2 linked regions of the Tamandua tetradactyla genome follow. The protein of the gene in region 2 interacts with the protein of the main gene of each other region in a pairwise test. Links are inferred from orthologs where the notes say so. Each region holds a gene or a part of one and is shown on either strand. Other genes may lie near its edges.

The links.
Region 1: the proteins of EML1 (region 2) and ISG20L2 interact in binary tests that used the Homo sapiens proteins (3 or more experiments, as listed by UniProt). The two-hybrid records come from large-scale screens. The link is inferred for Tamandua tetradactyla from reciprocal best matches to the Homo sapiens genes EML1 and ISG20L2.

The regions. Positions count from the first base shown.
Region 1 is NC_135330.1:9,718,132-9,726,361, forward strand, and holds the start of ISG20L2 (interferon-stimulated 20 kDa exonuclease-like 2), read right to left. Parts: upstream 3,036-8,230; 5' UTR 2,904-3,035; intron 2,903-2,903; exon of another isoform or gene 2,821-2,902; intron 2,273-2,820; 5' UTR 2,156-2,272; coding exon 1,418-2,155; intron 1-1,417. Other genes in the region: METTL25B (methyltransferase-like protein 25B), read left to right, coding at 3,440-3,718, 5,731-5,855, 6,005-6,197, 6,684-6,746, 6,956-7,099, 7,532-8,016. UniProt on the Homo sapiens protein: 3'-> 5'-exoribonuclease involved in ribosome biogenesis in the processing of the 12S pre-rRNA. Displays a strong specificity for a 3'-end containing a free hydroxyl group.
Region 2 is NC_135338.1:61,048,449-61,056,478, reverse strand, and holds the start of EML1 (echinoderm microtubule-associated protein-like 1), read right to left. Parts: upstream 3,151-8,030; 5' UTR 3,094-3,150; coding exon 3,027-3,093; intron 1-3,026. UniProt on the Homo sapiens protein: Modulates the assembly and organization of the microtubule cytoskeleton, and probably plays a role in regulating the orientation of the mitotic spindle and the orientation of the plane of cell division.

The sequences.
Region 1 (8,230 bases), on a different chromosome or scaffold from region 2:
AAGCCCAACGCAGTCCAGAGTTCTTTCCACTTACTGCCCACGTGCCCCATCCTTGAAATGCCCATTCTCCCGTAAGTTTTCTTTCCCCCCAAACCCACTCCCTCTATTTCAGACAAGTAAGTAATTTCCATAGTGTAACCTCGTGAGAACATGTATCACCAGTGCCTCCTTACCTTCCTATTAGTGTCTACTCTAATGTCAAATTAATTTGATTTCAGCCCTAAATCACACTTGCATTTGAGATGTTCATGTAACTAGTTCAGTTCTGGTTTGCTGCTTGGTCCCGTACAAGCCCTTTAACCATTATTACTGTGCTGGCCTTAGACATGTGGCTGGACCCTGAGAGTCAAAGATGGGCTCCAAAGAGGTGACAGAAGCTCCAGATTGTATGCAAATGGGTATGCATATGGGTTCACTCTCCACCACTACCCTTAGTTCGTATTAACCTCAACACACAGCTCGCATTAAAGCTAAGAGGATCTGCTGTTTCAGACCCACCCCATATTCTGCCCCTCTCGAGCCTGTGCCTAAACTGTGCCCCTTGTGCAAAGGACTTTCTTCATTGCTTCCTTCCAAGTCCTTCCTAAAAAACTGGCAATCCACCTCTGATGAATCCCCCAACAATTGACCATATTGTGGAAATAAAAGGAATTCTTGGAACAGTGTTGTCTAGGAATGGCAAAAAAGTAGAGCTGAAATTGCAAAACAGTGGACCAAGGGTGCCCTCTGGAGGCCTCCAAAGGTCGGCAGGCTCTCCTTTCTCCTTGCTCTCTTCCTCTCTCCACTTCCTCCTTTCCCCTCTCCTCCCTCACTCTCCTTTCCTGTTCATTTGTTGTGATCCCAGCATTCAGCACAGGACTAGAATGAGTAGGTTTGATCAATGAATGAGATGAGAACCCAGACACAACCAGCCCTCTATATCTCTTTATCACAGCCCTCCTATTCCAGTTATATAAATATGCCTCAGTGTTTTCTCAACTTTCTGCCCTCTCCTACCACCAATACTTTGCTCAGGCTACTTCTTGCTTGGAAGCCTTCTCTACCTCTCTGCTCGTAAGCACAGGCACAAACTCTATAAGGTATTTCCGAGTTCAGCCCTCTCCCCAGCACTCGTGCTGCTGTTCTGTCCAGTTACATCAGTGGCTGTTACTTCTCTATGCAGATTTCCGGTTTCCCAAATCAGGAACCTACTTGGCACCTAAAATAGGTGCAGGCTAATGAAGTCTGCTACATCACCTAATTCTAAACTTCCTGCCTTTCACCTTACCCCAACAGGAGCCTTAATCATCTAATATCCCCCTCCCAACCTTCCCAATCCTTTTGATATCTTCCCAAGGTGATATATCCTTTGCCAGAAAAATGACACGGACCTTCCCCTACCCACGTTACTGCCACCAGCATGCCCCATGTCCCTCACCTGGCTCCGAGCAATCTTGAAGGGTGTGGCATTCGCCATGTGCTGCTTCCGGATACCACTCCATCTGGTCCTGTAGTCCACAATGCGACAGGGGGGAAGGACGTATTCGTCATAAAGCACATCTCCATTGTAGTTGACAATACTACATCGCGCTAAAGAACTGACATGCCCCTTGGGTCCTGTGCCCACCATCTCACAGTCAATTGCCACCATCTTTCTTGGTATTTTCTGGGATGCTCCAGTGCATTTACTCTCTGAGTGTGCTTGAGTGGAATCCTTCTGTGGACCATTCTTCTGAGGAGGGTTCTTCTGGGGGCCCTTCTTCTGGGAGCGAGCTGAGCGGCTCTTAACCTTTGGAAGGGCGCTCTGGAACTCCCCCAGCAAATCTACTTTAGCTACAACAGATCCAGGCTTCTGTAAAGGGGCTGGGGTCAGCCAAGACACTGTGGCTTTCTTGTCCAGGGACTGCTCTGACTCACTGCTGGACACAGTTTTCTTCTTCTTTTTTGGGATGGGAGGACCCTTCCAAGTGCCATCTACCCTAGGAGCTTCCCCTTTCTTTGGAGGTTCTGAGTGCAACCTAGGATTCTTGCTAGGGGGCTGGTTCTTCTTATTCAAAAAGCCTCTCCGTTCCAAGAGCCGCCGCTTCTTGACAAAATTTCGGTGCTTGGCATTCCCCTCTAATGTCTTTTTGGGGGGAGGTTCCCCAAAATCCAGATTTAGAAGTAAGGTAGACATGAAGACAGTAGATGGTGGGAAAGCAGTTGGGGAGAGTGGCTTATGGATGAAAGGAGGATGTGGGACTCATTCTCTGCTGAATCCCCAAAACCAACATCTGGAAGTTTGTAGTATACCCTGGGGAAGAAAGTTACCCTGATAATCGAGCCCATAAACCTGGGAGAAGAATAAGAAAAGACAGATCTCCGTAGGACTTAAGGAAGAAGTTAAGATAGCAGAGCAACCTCCCAGGTAGAAGAGGAATGAGATGCAAAGGGAATTAACGAACGGAGCACACTGCTCTGAGTTGGGAGCCGCATGGTCTTAGGAGGGTCGTTCCCTCTCTAAGTCTCAGCCTCATTTGTTAACCGAAAGGGCTGGGGAGCCCGTGGAGCTCGAACTCTCTGTGAGTCTGGAATACCAGAATAGTTGAGTTTTATAAAGATTTATCCAGGGAGGGTACTATAAATATGCTCAAACGCAGGGACGGGCATGGCACAGATGACCTCTAGGTTATCTAGACATCCCCGGGTTCCACCAATAGAAATACAAATCCAGGTACCCCTTTCTCTTAGCTCCAGGTGGGGGGAGTCTCCAATACATCTCATCCAAATCCTTCTCCCAAGAAGGGGCCACTTATCAGCGGGGGGGAGGAGCGGAGGGAAATTCAGGCTCGGTGAGCCCACCTCGGCGAAAGCACTTTGATTCTCGCCACGGAGATCGTTTCCCCAACACACCCAGGCCGGGACCAATGCTCCAACAAACCTACCTTCAGGGTGTGCGCTGTTAAGACCGGAAGCGCCCGGAGCCGGATGCGGAAACTGGCGCCCGTCGACGAGGGCCGGGACGGAAGGCGCGCGGGTTGGAACGCGCTGGCGGCCGGCGCGCGCGCGCCCGCAGAGCCCCTACCTCGGGGAGCGAAGTTAGGGATTCCGAGTGTGTGAGGAGCGGCAGCGGCGCCGGTGGGGGGGGCGGGGTGGGTGGGGGCGGGGGCGGGATGCGCTCCCCGGCCCCTCTAGCCCCGTGGAGGTACAACTCGAAGGTGCGGGGAAGCCGCGACAAACCAGAACGGAAGCGCGCCGAGACGTGACCTTACTTCCGGGAGGGGAGGGGCGTGTACAGGAAGGCGCGCGATCTGGAACTTGGCCCGCCCCCTTCGTGGGCGTGGCTCCGCCGCAAGCCTCTGTGGCGTCAGTCCTCTGTCAGCCTGCCCCTCCTGTCTCACGACGCTGACATCTCAGCGCTGTGAGAAGTTGCGATCTATGACGTCAAGGGGGTGCCTCATATCTTCAGCCCCAGCCTGAGATGCCGGAAAGGCAGCGTTGGGGGCCAGACCCCAAACCTTTTCTTCCCGTGCCCCCCGCAGAGTTTAATCCAGCCCGCGTCTTGGACCTGCGTGGTGGTGACCTTGGATCCTTCGGCGCGATCTCGCTGCCCTCTCGACCGGCAGGAGCCCCGGATGCCGGGCGTCTCTGCCCGCGGCCTCTCTCTCGAGGCGAGGAGGCGGCTAGCTGTGAACCTCACCCGTGTCCTGGCGCTCTACCGCTCCATCCTGGACGCCTACATCATCGTGAGGCCGCAGGGGTGTGGGGGGTGCTCCCGGGGCAAGTACTGGGTGTGTGATCGCTTAGGTGCCCACGGCAGGGAGAGAATCCGGAGTTGGCCCTGAGCACTTTTCTTATATGAATTTTAGTCTTCTGTGTCTACGAAAAGGGTTAAAATTGGGTTGGTTCTTCCACCCCCACTCCCATTTTTTTTCATCTGCTGCAAATATTAATATTTCTGATACGTAGGTGGTTTTCTAATTTTCCCAAATCAAGGTGAATAAACGCATAGACATGTGAGCCGTATTGCAGTCACATTGAACTCCCATTCTAGGAACATGTGAGGTGTTTCTAGAACACGTATGTTCACCCAGTTCTGACTGACCTCGTGTGTTTGTGTTGTGGACAGTTTCAGCTTGCAATCAGACAGACTGGACTAGAATCCTCCCCTTCTGTGTTTGCCTTAAAACAAGATTGTTTTTACAAATCTCCCTCTTCCTGGTTTCCTCAGCTGTAAAATGGATCTCTGTCTGAAGGGAAGAATAAGTCATTGTGACGAATAAATTAGATAATGTGTAAATGGCACCAGTATCCACTGAAATATTCAGACCCAGAAGTCATCCTTGATTCCACTCTTTCCTTAGCTTGATCCCCAGTTAAATCATTCAGCAAGTCCTGTTGCCTCTACCTCCAGAATAGATAATAGATTTATCCACTTCTCTTCCTCTCCGGTGCTACCACCCTGGGTCAAACCACTGCCTCTGCTCTAAACGACTACAATAGCTAACAGATCTGGGTTTAGCTCTGGCCCTCTATTACCAAATTTCCAGAGCCACCAGATTGATCTCTATCATGTAAACCTGAACATGATTACTCACCTTGCTTCCTGGGTGCTTTGTGTAAAGTCCTAATCCTTATATATAAGGTAAAGCCCTACTTGATCTGGCTCCTGCTGCCTCTTCAGTCCCTTCACATTTCATTCTCTCCCATGTTCACTGTGCCACACCTACACTGGCTTGCTTCCTGTTCCACACAGATTGTAGGCTTCCAGGCCTCCACACTTACTGCTCAGACTGGAACGGCTCTTTCAAGAGAGAGGCAATAGAGCAGAATGGATAAGAGCAAGGTCTCTAGAGTTGTACGGCTTTCAAAATTGGCTCAGCTACTTAGAATCTCTTGACTTGGGCCAGTTAATAGCTGTGCATCAGTTTCCTTATCTGTAAAATGGGGGATAACAACAGTACCTACCTCATACGGTTGCTCTAGAGATTGAATGTATAAATTCATCTAAAATGTCTAGAACAGTGCCTGGCAGATTAAAGTATTACATCAGTTTTGCTATTACCTGTATTTTTTTTATATGCCTGATTCGTGTCTGTCATTCAAGATTGAGTTCATATGTCACCTCCTCTGACAAGTCTTCCCTCATCACGCTATCTAAAATAGTCATCTCTCAGATCCTCCACTACTGTTTCATTAGCGTTTTATTGTTTGTGGCATTTGATATCTGAAAAAAAAAATTGTTTTAATGTAAACCCCACGAGAGCAGGAGCATCATCTCTGGTTCAGGGCTGTATCCCAAGCCTGGAACAGTAATTTGTGTGCCCCAGAATTTGTGTTAACCAAATGAATGAATAAACACACTTGATGTCTGGCACAAATAATGATAGGTTACTAAATGGTAACATACTATTGTCTGTCAGTCACTGTGGGGATGCAGACGTGAACAAGACACCATTCTTGCTGTTAAGAAGTGCAGTTGAGTAGAGAAAACAAGTCATAGATAAGTGAGGAGATTTCTAAACAGAGAGGTTTGTCCAGAATGCAGTCTGGGCACAGAGGAAGAAGTCAACCACCTGGGAACTGTGGGAGGCTGGAGCAGACTTCAGAGAAGAGGTCTCAAGGATGAGTACAAGATACTTGCTGGTTGCAGCCAGTGGCCCTGTGTAGCAACAGTGCTGGGAAAAGCCAGGAGACAAGATGGGAGCTGTGAGTCGGGTGGCGTAGAATGGGAATGGTAGTGGTCTGCTGATGGCTTTTCCCCTTTTGCAGGAATTTTTCACTGACAACTTGTGGGGCACACTCCCTTGTTCATGGCAGGAAGCACTGGATGGACTGAACCCACCACAGCTGGCCACGATGTTGCTGGGGATGCCTGGGGAAGGGGAGGTGGTCAGGTATGGGTGAGAACTCAGGGCACTGAGCCTTGTAGCTAGCCATTGCTCAGAGAATCGCACAAGGGCTTTCTCGGTCCCCTGGGTTGTAAATTGCTGCACTCAGGGTGTGATGGGACTCTTCATTGTTGGCCTGGGCCGGGCTATCTCAGGTACAGGTCAGTGTGGCCACTCACCCTGCTGGCCCTGAAGTCCACAGCCTTTGCCCTGGCCTTTACCCGGACTCCTGGGTTCCAGACACCTTCAGAATTCCTGGAGAACCCCAGCCAGAGCTCCCGACTGACAGCTCCCTTCCGGAAACATGTCAGGCCCAAGAAGCAACATGAGATCCGAAGGCTGGGAGAGGTGAAGAAATGGCTGGGCATATAGGTGGTATCTGGGAGTCCTGGGGTACAAAATTACATGTTCCTTACCTCACATGCAGGACCAGAGTTCCTAGAAGCCCCCTTCCTTGGTAGACCTACTATATAATCATATTTCCATGCTCCTTTTTTCTTTTCCCCCACCTCTTTCTGGGTTGGTCAGTGGCTATGTCTGAATAACAATCTTATTCCTCTTCTCATATGTCCACAACCTGCTCATGGATTCACAGCAGGGCTCTTCCTCATTTATGAGGGAGGGTGACTCACTAACCTGAGAGGAGTAAGGAGAGTAGCCTGCACCTGGGGTCAGCACCCATTCTCCCCTCGCCCATTTTGCTTTCCGTATCTGTTGCCTCTTCGGTGGCTCTCTCTGTCCATCTTCCTCTGCCATCTTCAGTTCCTTTACTTTCATTACGGGGGTTTTCCCTGGGAATCAAGAACAAATGGCCAGGAGTCCCTCCTTTTTCAGTTGGTGAAGAAGCTGAGTGACCTCACAGGCTGCACCCAGGTTGTGGATGTAGGCTCAGGCCAGGTGAGCCAGACCTCTTATATACTGTTCTTTTGAGTTGTGGGGGACAGAACAGCTGGAAGGGAGAGGCTGTCAGGCCTACAGGCCAGGGAGGCAAATGCTGAGAATGGTGGAACCAGGCAGGACAGAATTTAAGCCTTCAGTGGGTCCAAAGGGGGGTGATAGTCGAATAGGCACTAAACAGGGTTGTCTCTACCCTCTCGTGACTTCAGGGCCATCTCTCCCGCTTCATGTCTTTGGGACTGGGGCTTTTGGTGAAGAGCATTGAAGGAGATCAGAGACTGGTGGAGAGAGCCCAGCGGCTGGATGAAGCGCTCCTGCAGGCTCTGGAGAAAGAGGAGAAGAGGAACCCAAAGGTAAGCCACTCCCTCCTGCAGCCAGGACTTTAAGAATAGGGTCTGCTTGGCTGTAATTGGGCACCAAGGCTGAATTCTCTTTCAGGTTTCTCGGTTTGAGATGGTATGGCCCCTGTATCTGCTCCCTCTTCCCCAGGTCCCCTCTTCCCCAAAGCCATTCCATATCTCACAGGCACTCACTAGGTTACAAAGTGCTTTCCACACGGATACATCCTGTGAATGGAGATCAAAATGAAGTTTTGCAAAGTTAACAATTGGTAGGATCCAGAATTTATCCCATCTCCTCATTCATGGTCCAGCTCTCTGCTATGCCCCAGCTTCTCTGCCATGTTCCTCCTTGGGAGGAAACACAGGACAGATCCTTTCCTGTGGCCTGAGTGGCATGGGGACAGCAGACTTCCCATCTGCCCTTGTCCTTTCTTGCCTCCACAGGTGGTTCAAGCTGGCCCTCGCCACCCTCCACACCACATGGTTAGGTGGGTGGACCCCACAGCCCTGTGTGAGGAGCTCCTGCTTCCACTGGAGCCCCTGCCTCAGGGTGGGGCCCGCTTGCTGCTGGCAGGCCTCCATGCCTGTGGGGATCTGAGTGTCGCCTTGCTGAGGCACTTCTCCTGCTGCTCTGAGGTTGCAGCCCTGGCCTCCGTGGGCTGCTGCTACATGAAGCTGAGTGACCCTGGTGGCTACCCACTGAGCCACTGGGTAGCTGGGCTGCCTGGCTGTGAACTGCCCTACAGGCTGCGGGAGGGGGCCTGCCATGCTCTAGAGGAATATGCTGAGCGGCTACAGAAAGCAGGCCCCAGCCTCCGAACCCACTGCTATCGTGCAGCACTGGAGACGGTGATCCGCCGTGCCCGGCCCGAGCTCCGACGGCCAGGCGTGCAGGGGATCCCCAGGGTCCACGAGCTCAAGATTGAAGAGTGAGGTTGGGGGTGGTGGGGTGGGACGGGAGTGTCACCAACTGGAGATCTGATTCCCCTCCCACCCTCACCTGTTAGCATGTCCTAAAGAAAATCTAAAAGTACACAGAATACCTTGAGTGGCTTCCCCAAATTCCTTTAAGGAGTTGTTACTTTTTTATCTGGAGAATTTTATCAAAGAAATAGTTTTTAAATGCTAAAAATATGGCTAAAA
Region 2 (8,030 bases):
TCAGTGGGGAAGGGGGAGGGGAGTGACCACTAATGGTAACAGAGTTTCTTTGCGGGGTAATGAAATATTCAAAAATTAGATAGTGCTGATGCTTGCACAATTCTGTGAATTTACTAAAAGTCACTTAATTGTATACTTTAAAATAAATACCATATAACAGATACAAAGATATTTATATATAGTACATATAAAAATTCAGAATGGCATCCAAATTCTTTGGACCTCATTTTTCCAATGGGCAAGGGGAGAAGAAACAAAGCTGACCCCAAGGAAGGGTTATAAATGACAGTTCTCGTCCTCTTTTCCATTACTGTAGTTTTTCTGACAGCATAAGAAGTTCGTGACTTCTAGCTCACTTTACAGAGTTTTAAATACTTAGAAGGAAAAACATTGCACAAATTTTCCAGTAACGGGATGAGAACGAACAGCCTTTTCAGAAGTCTCGATATTGCCTAACTTTTCATTTATACTTTTGCAAAAAATCTCTTTTAAATAACCAGAATTAAACAATAAGATCACTTTTCATACAAATGAAGTAGGAGAGAGGGCAAGAAGACAATATAAGAAGATAGAAAGTTCATTCATTAGAGCAGTTATCTCTTTCTCCCTTCTCATTTATACCCTATCTCCTATCTTTATCCCAGTAGATGGAATTAAACTGTAACTGTCATCCAAATAACAAGCATGGATTAAATTTTCTGAAGCTAGCTGAAAGATCTAACTAGGTCTTTTTTAGTTTCTCTCAATATCAAAAGCAAGGAGCATGTTCAACTAAGATAATGTCTGAGTTTATATGTTATGCTGTTGTATCTTGCCATTGTAATGCAAATCTCTATTTAAAAAGAAAAAAGTCCAACGTAGCTAATGAAATATCCAAATGTTTAATTTAGTCATTGTGAATGCCATTTCTGTGTTCCACTATTTTCACTGTATCATCATACTAATTAACTGAATTGTATTCATGTATACTTTACTTAAATGGAGGTCTCTTAAAATGAACAATTTTACATCAAAACATCTGTTGCCTAAGACATCATCAGTTAGCATTCATTTCTGTCCCACCGTAATCTACTCTTCCTCTGAATTTACTTCTTAAAAAATAATAAACACAGCTAAGGGTTTTTTGAGAAAAGTAATTCAACAGTTATAATTCACTTGTGTTCTGAAGTGATCTTACTGCTTAATTCTAGTTATTTAAAAGAGATTTTCTCAACACTGTTACCTAGACAATACATAAGAGCTGGTTTTTACTTTCTTCTAGACACCATTATCAGTTATATACCATAATATGTCTGAACTAGCAACTCATTGGAAATGGCTGAAACAATTCATGAACAGATGTGGAGGTCAACTTTGTGACTGAATTGCTATTTACGAACAATATGACCAGGCCCCAAAACAACTGCTAAAACAAAAATATCTAGGTTCGTTTTCATATCCCAGGTCAAACGGTCAATGATATGACCACATATTGATTTTTTAATATCTTTATGCCTGGAAGTCATTTCATACATCTTTTACCACCAACACAGGGAAAATTTTTATCATAAGCTGTAATGAGGACAGATCTACTTAACTTGTAGATCAAAACTACCAATTCAAGTATGACTGATTACAAGTCAGTTAAGAAAACTACTCAAAATTTAATTGAGGTATTTATTCAACCTACAGGCTGTATATTATAAAGTGTTCCAGAAGCCTGCAGAGTGCCAAATACTTCCTACCTGCCATCAACCCCTTCTGAGGCTCAAAACTCTGCTCTAGGAAATTGTGGTTAAGTTTGGAGAAAGTAAAAACTTTCTTTCATTCCTCCGAAAGGGGCATTACTAAGTTAATGAAGGTCCACATGTTGTTAATATGAAAATTATAAGCTATAAAAACTACCAGAATATACACTCTGCCACGAAAGAGAAAATCACTTTGGCTAGTGTTCGAAATACCACTACAGAGATGAAGCAACACACTCAGTACTCTTTACTGCTACAGCTAAGGTCTCCTGTTTGCAAACAGGTGTTGAATAACGAGAAAAGTTTCCCCAAATCACAATTACAATTGCAAAAGAAATTGCGGGAGCTGTCAGAGTCTAGAATTCAAAATTACCCCGACTGCACTTATAGACAAATTCTATAAAATACATTTTATTTTTCTCTAACAAACTTTCGGGTTCCTTTGACGAAGCAATATATCCAATATATAAAATGTATGCTTAACTTCGTGCATGAATTATTAGGCATCATGTTCTGATAAAACATGCAGTGTGCTGTGGAACTCTTTCTCAACCTCGCAAAATGAGACTAAAATCTTTCAAGCATAAAGGATTTTATATTTTTAAAAGATGCCATATTAGTAGCTATTAATGTTTCTTTCCTGTAAAAACAAAAAAACGCAGAAAAATCTATAACCCAGTAAACAAAATAAACGACCATACTTTGAAGCCAGGTCCACTTTGCCTTTCCATTTACAAAGATCTGGAGTGCATTAAACTGTGATCGCGCAATTAAAGTAAATCTGAACGGATTCTGAGGGTCTACCAGCAACAAACACTGCGTGCATCCTCGTAGGAGTGCTCTGTGATTAAGTGATTTGTTTTCGAGTTCCTCATCCAGTAATTTCCGAAGAGATGTGAGTTTGCAAGCAGAAAAGCAACACGTTCCCCTGGAACCCCGAGGCTGCCCGGGCCTCTCCGGCTCCCTCCGCTCCCCGTCTTGGTCCGCTCGCCGGCTCTCGTCATGGTCAGCTCGGGAGTCCGTGCGGCAACCGGCCCGAGCCGCGGGCGATGGATGGGAGCGACCGCCGCCCGACTCCGCTCGGCTCCGGCCGGGGGCGAGGCGCGGCCCCGCAGCCCCAGCACAATGCGCCAGAGGCGGCGGGAACTGCGCGCCCCTCAGGAGCAAGTTTGCGCGGCCTCGCCCGCGGCCGCCGGGCCTCGGCCCCTCAGCTCGGCCCCCGCCTGCCCCGCTCTCCCGCCCCGGCCGCCGCCGCCCCGGCCCCGCGGCCCGCGGCCCTCCCGCGCGGCCGCCCCTCACCGTTGCAGAATTGGAGCAACGAAGACGTGTCATAAAGGCTGCTGTAGCTCGAGAAGCCGTCCTCCATGCTGAGGCCGCCGGCAGCGCCCGCTCCCCGGTTCGGCCGCGCCGCCGCTGCTCACCCACACACTAAGCCCGGGCCCGAGCCGCGGCCGGCGCTGGCGCTGGGGCCGGCCCTGCTGTGGCGGCGGCTGCTGCCGGTCACCATGGCAACCCCGGGCCCGCCGCCGCCGCCGCCGCCACGGACCCGCGCCGACACTGCCCGCCAGGGGGCGGCCTGAGAGGGCGACCCGGCCCGCTGCCGGGGGAGGCGGGGGACGTGGCGGGGCGTGGTCGCGAGTGGAGGCGGGGGGAACGCGGCCTGGGCCTGCCCTCTCCCCACCCACGGCGCGTCGGGCGGCCTTTCCTCGCCCTCCGAAAGGGCTGGCGGCCCTGACTGGCTGGGATGCTACGGGAGCGCGCGCTCTCGGCCAGGCTCGCCTGCCCCCCCAGGACCGCAGGGTGCGGGGGTACGGGGCGGCCGTCTCCTCAGGAGGACGACGGCGCGGGGACGCTCGGCGTCCCGCGAGGCGTGAGGGCCGAAGGGACAAAGGGAGAGGCCCGGAGAGCAGCGGCGGCGCTGATGGGGCGAGAGGTACACGAGGTCCACGGTCCGGGTGATGCAGCGGACGGGCGAGGACCCCCGGGCTGGCCTGGAGGTAGGGCGGGGACGCCGCCTAGACCGGCCTCACCGCCGGAACGGCCCCGTTCGCCCGATGTCCCACCTCCTTCACCACACCCTCGCCGGGCGCTGTCCCCGAGCTTGCGGGCAGCTCTAGAACCAAACATGGACAACTTGGGGATCCTTTCCAGCTGTGTTTCCTGCATCTCAGAGCAACTCCACTTTTGGCTCCGTCCTACGGGACGCCCCCCTCTTAACGCACGTTTCCCAAAGGTCCTGCCTAGAGTGATAGAGCTTGTCACTCCACTTGAGCCATTGTTTGCCACCGGGAAAAGATGCTGCTTTCCACTTCAAAAGATGCAGTCCTAATATTAGGTTGGAAACTGCTGCGTTTAAAGGCACCATCGCCGAAGCACATCGAGTTAAAACTCCACTCAATTCTTTTTCCCCCCTAGGATCAAACTCTAGAACGCAGCTGTGCTTTCACGTCATGGACTGTTAACCTGTGACATGACCTATGAAAATTGGTATTTTTTGCTACCTCAGGAAGAGGCAAAGACATAGGACAAAATAATTTAGGAGAAACACACAAATCCATGAATTTTTAACTTTTCCAGCCCACACAATACAGCCCATACAAATATGGGATTAACGATCTGAGTTTCACTATACAGGGCCAGAAGTAAAGACGCTAGAAACTGTGAGGAAAGAGAGAATAGTACATGGATTGGACGTTCTAAGGCAGGAATGGACTGGGTCAAGAAGAGGACTACACAGCATGTATGCAGCTTGTCACACACAGCCGTGATGCAATTCTATGTAATTGTGAGAATAGTTTCAAGTTGTGGGTATTAATTTGTGTGGGTTGAGCACGAGCAGGTGAAATAAGAAGCGAGTAAGAAGTTACTAATAGGAAAACTTCTGGACCTCCCTGAAATCTATAGGCAGAAAGCCACCTGTCTTTCCAGAAGTGCAGCTTAGAAAGCAGTGGGCAGCAGTGCCAGGACCCTGGAGTCCATCACTCTGCGTGTGGCATGTTTAGCATGTGGGTAAATAAGGACTGCTGTTAGATGCTGTAGGCAGAGGAGGAGACTTTCTCCCTGTCCTAGTCAGGGAGATAGGGAGCAAAGCCCAGAAAACAAGAGAGGTGGTTAAGGGAATGAAGGAAATGAGAGCCTTGTGGGTGGAGGCTGAAGGGCTACAGCGGCTGTTGATTTGGGCTGTGACCTCAGTGGATGGGGACAATGGGGAGGACAGTGGTAGTGAACCATGGAGGAAAGAAGGAGCAGGGTTTGCTGATAGGTCAAGAGGGTGGCTTGACCATGAATGAACAGCTCATAAGGCAGACAAGTGGAAAATAGGATAGGACTGAGAGAAAGGGGCCAGATAAGAGAGGACCCCGAGAGCCAGGTGCAGCAGGAAATGGTGGGACCCAAGGAGGTTTTCACACAAGTAAGCAGCATTGAGTCCATGTGGATTACAAGAGCCAGGGCCTGGAGCTGGAGCAGTGCCAAACCAGGCACTGAGAACTCATGATCAGAGGGAAATTGCTGTAGAGCCATGAGGCTGGAAAAGCAGAACATTCAAGAGATGACAGCAAAACTTCCCATCAGAAATACTCTGTAGCAATTGCAAGACTGGCTTGCCAGTGAAAGAAGTGAGATTTGGAAGTTGTCAGTAAAGAGGTTGTAAATGAACTCTCTAAAGAAAAGAGTGGAAAGTCCAACTGGAGCTGGGGCATGCCTTGGAGAAAAAGTAGAGGAGGAAATTCCGAACGAGCAGTCACAGAGGCAGGAGAATCAGCATAGGACATGGTTTCAGAAGCCAGAGCACAGAAAGCTTAGGAGAGGGGGTGTTATAGCAGGATTCACTGCAGGGTTAGTCAAGGAGCATGAGGCTGGGAAAGGCCCTTCTGTCTGGTGGCAGAAGGGCTCCAAGGTAGCTTTAAACAACTTGGTGAGGTGCTGGGAATGGAAACCAGATTCCTGGACATCAAAAGGAGAGCACATAGCGCGGGCCACGGTAGCTCAGCAGGCAGAGTTCTCACTTGCCATGTCGGAGACCTGGCTTCAATTCCTGGTGCCTGCCCATGCAAAAAAAGAAAAAGAAAAAGAAAAAAAGGGAGAACACATAGACATGCATGTTTCAGAATTTTGACAGGGAAAGAAAATGGGGCCAAAAATAGAGGAAAGAGGTGGCTGGAGGATCAGGTAAAGGAAACCCCTGAAGGTGAATCACCTCTGTCTCTGAAGTGAGGGGCAGGTACTGTGGAGAAGAGTAAGATTTAACACCTAGATGGACAGTTGGTCTCTACCCTTTTACGTTTTCCCATTTCCCACCTACTTTGCTTCTATTCCAGTGTTTATGCTCTCTCTACTCCATTTTGCAGTTTTATACTTTAGAATACATTGAATTATTGGTATGAAAAGCTGATGTGTGGCATTCTTGAAGTTGAAAGGGAAACAATCATGAATTAATTATTAAAAGATGGTTCTCTTTAAGAATGTTAAAATTTCTCAATGTTAAAGGTGTGATATTTAATGGCCACAGCTGATAAAGTTTAGGAAATAAAGAAAATTCTGAAGTGGAAAAGGAGAAATATGTTTAAAAGTTCAGCTGTAAAATTGGGCTGGAGATTGTCTTAGATGATTTTATTTCTTCCACTAGCAAAATTATAAATAACACCAGAACTCAGTCTGTGTGCTTTTGAAATGATAAAGATCATTATTACATTCTTAACCCAGAGTATCAAATAGCTCTGTTTTCCCACAATAGTAAAATCTTACTTTAAAAAAGCAAAATTTAGTATAATTATAAGGATATGCATGTTAAGTCAATTAGTTATAATCTACACAGCATTAAAACAGATCTAGGGAGAAAGTTCAAGAAAAGTCTCTGAAAACTTAATTAGCAATGTGTGATTTTTCTGCCCAAACATTTTAACAGACTGTTATTCCATGTCATTTTGAGGTAACTTAGGGCCTGAGTCCAAAAAACACTGTCGTCATAATAAATGATATATACTCTCTAGGACAATATAACCACAGCATTCAGTGGCATTAATAGCAGTGTTCTTATATGTGAAAAAGAGAAAGGAAAAAATGGAGCTCTGTGGCCTTTTTCATAGAGCAATAATTAAAAACTACCCTGAAACGTGAGGCCTTGCACATCTATTGTTTAAGTCAACATTTCTTCTGAAAGGCACTGCATTTGGAACTAGACATACAGCATAGAATACAGTGTTTTCCAAACTGCAGGTGGTCATGAAATCAGTTTAAAGGGTCCCAGTTGGCGCTTTTAAAAATGAAATAGCATAGACAACATAAGAGTGCCTGGAATGTGGCGAGAACAAGTATTTTTACTTGAAATGTTGGTCTTGACTTGAAACGTGTGTATGGTATGGGTGTGATGATTTAGGATGTAAAATGTCTTTCTTCCTGGAAGACACAAGTCTGAGAAACACTCAGATGTAAAATAAATAATCACACAAATGAATGTCTAATTACAAATTTTGGTGAGTGCCAGGGAACAAAGATAAAAGGGAGAATTTCAGATTACACTGGAGGATCTGAATTAGACGAAGGAGTACAAGTAGCAACAAGCACAACAGTGGGCAAGGATCAAGAGAAGTCCACTTCAGGCAAATAGGCTTATTTGAGGAACAAAGGAGATTGGTGCAGCAGGGGTTGGTTAACAAGAGTGGGCAGGGTGGTGACTGGGCACCCCATTTGTGCAGACCCTTGGAGATCCTATTAAAGGTTTCCAACTTTATTCTAAGGACAAAGAGAAGCTGAACTTTCATTAGTACAAAATCTCAAAGTCAAGAGTTGATTTTTCCATGAAATCAGTACATGAGTCGTTATTGATATTAAAATGTAAAACATACCTCCTTATGCTGTATTAGTTAAACTGCTAGAATACAATATACTAAAAATAGAATGACTTTTAAAAAGGGAATTTAATAAGTTGCATGTTACAATTCTAAGGCTGTGAAAATGTCCAAATTAAGGCACCAACAAGAGATAACTTTCCTCAAGAAAGGCTAATGCTGTCCAGAACTCCTCTATCAGCTAGGAAGGCATGTGGCTGGTGTCTACTGATCCTTGTTCCCAGCTCATTGCTTTCACTTCTGATGCCAGTAGTTTCCTCTCTAAGCGTCTGTGGGCTGTCACTTAGTTCCTCCAGGACACAGTTCTGTGTTCTGGCTTGCTTAGCATCTCATGGGAAGGCACATGGCAATGTCTGTTGAGCTCTACCTGTATCTAGGCATCTGTTCTCTCCAAGTATCTCCAAACATCCGTGTCTCTGTTAGCTCTAAAGCAACTGTTAGCTCCAAGCATCTG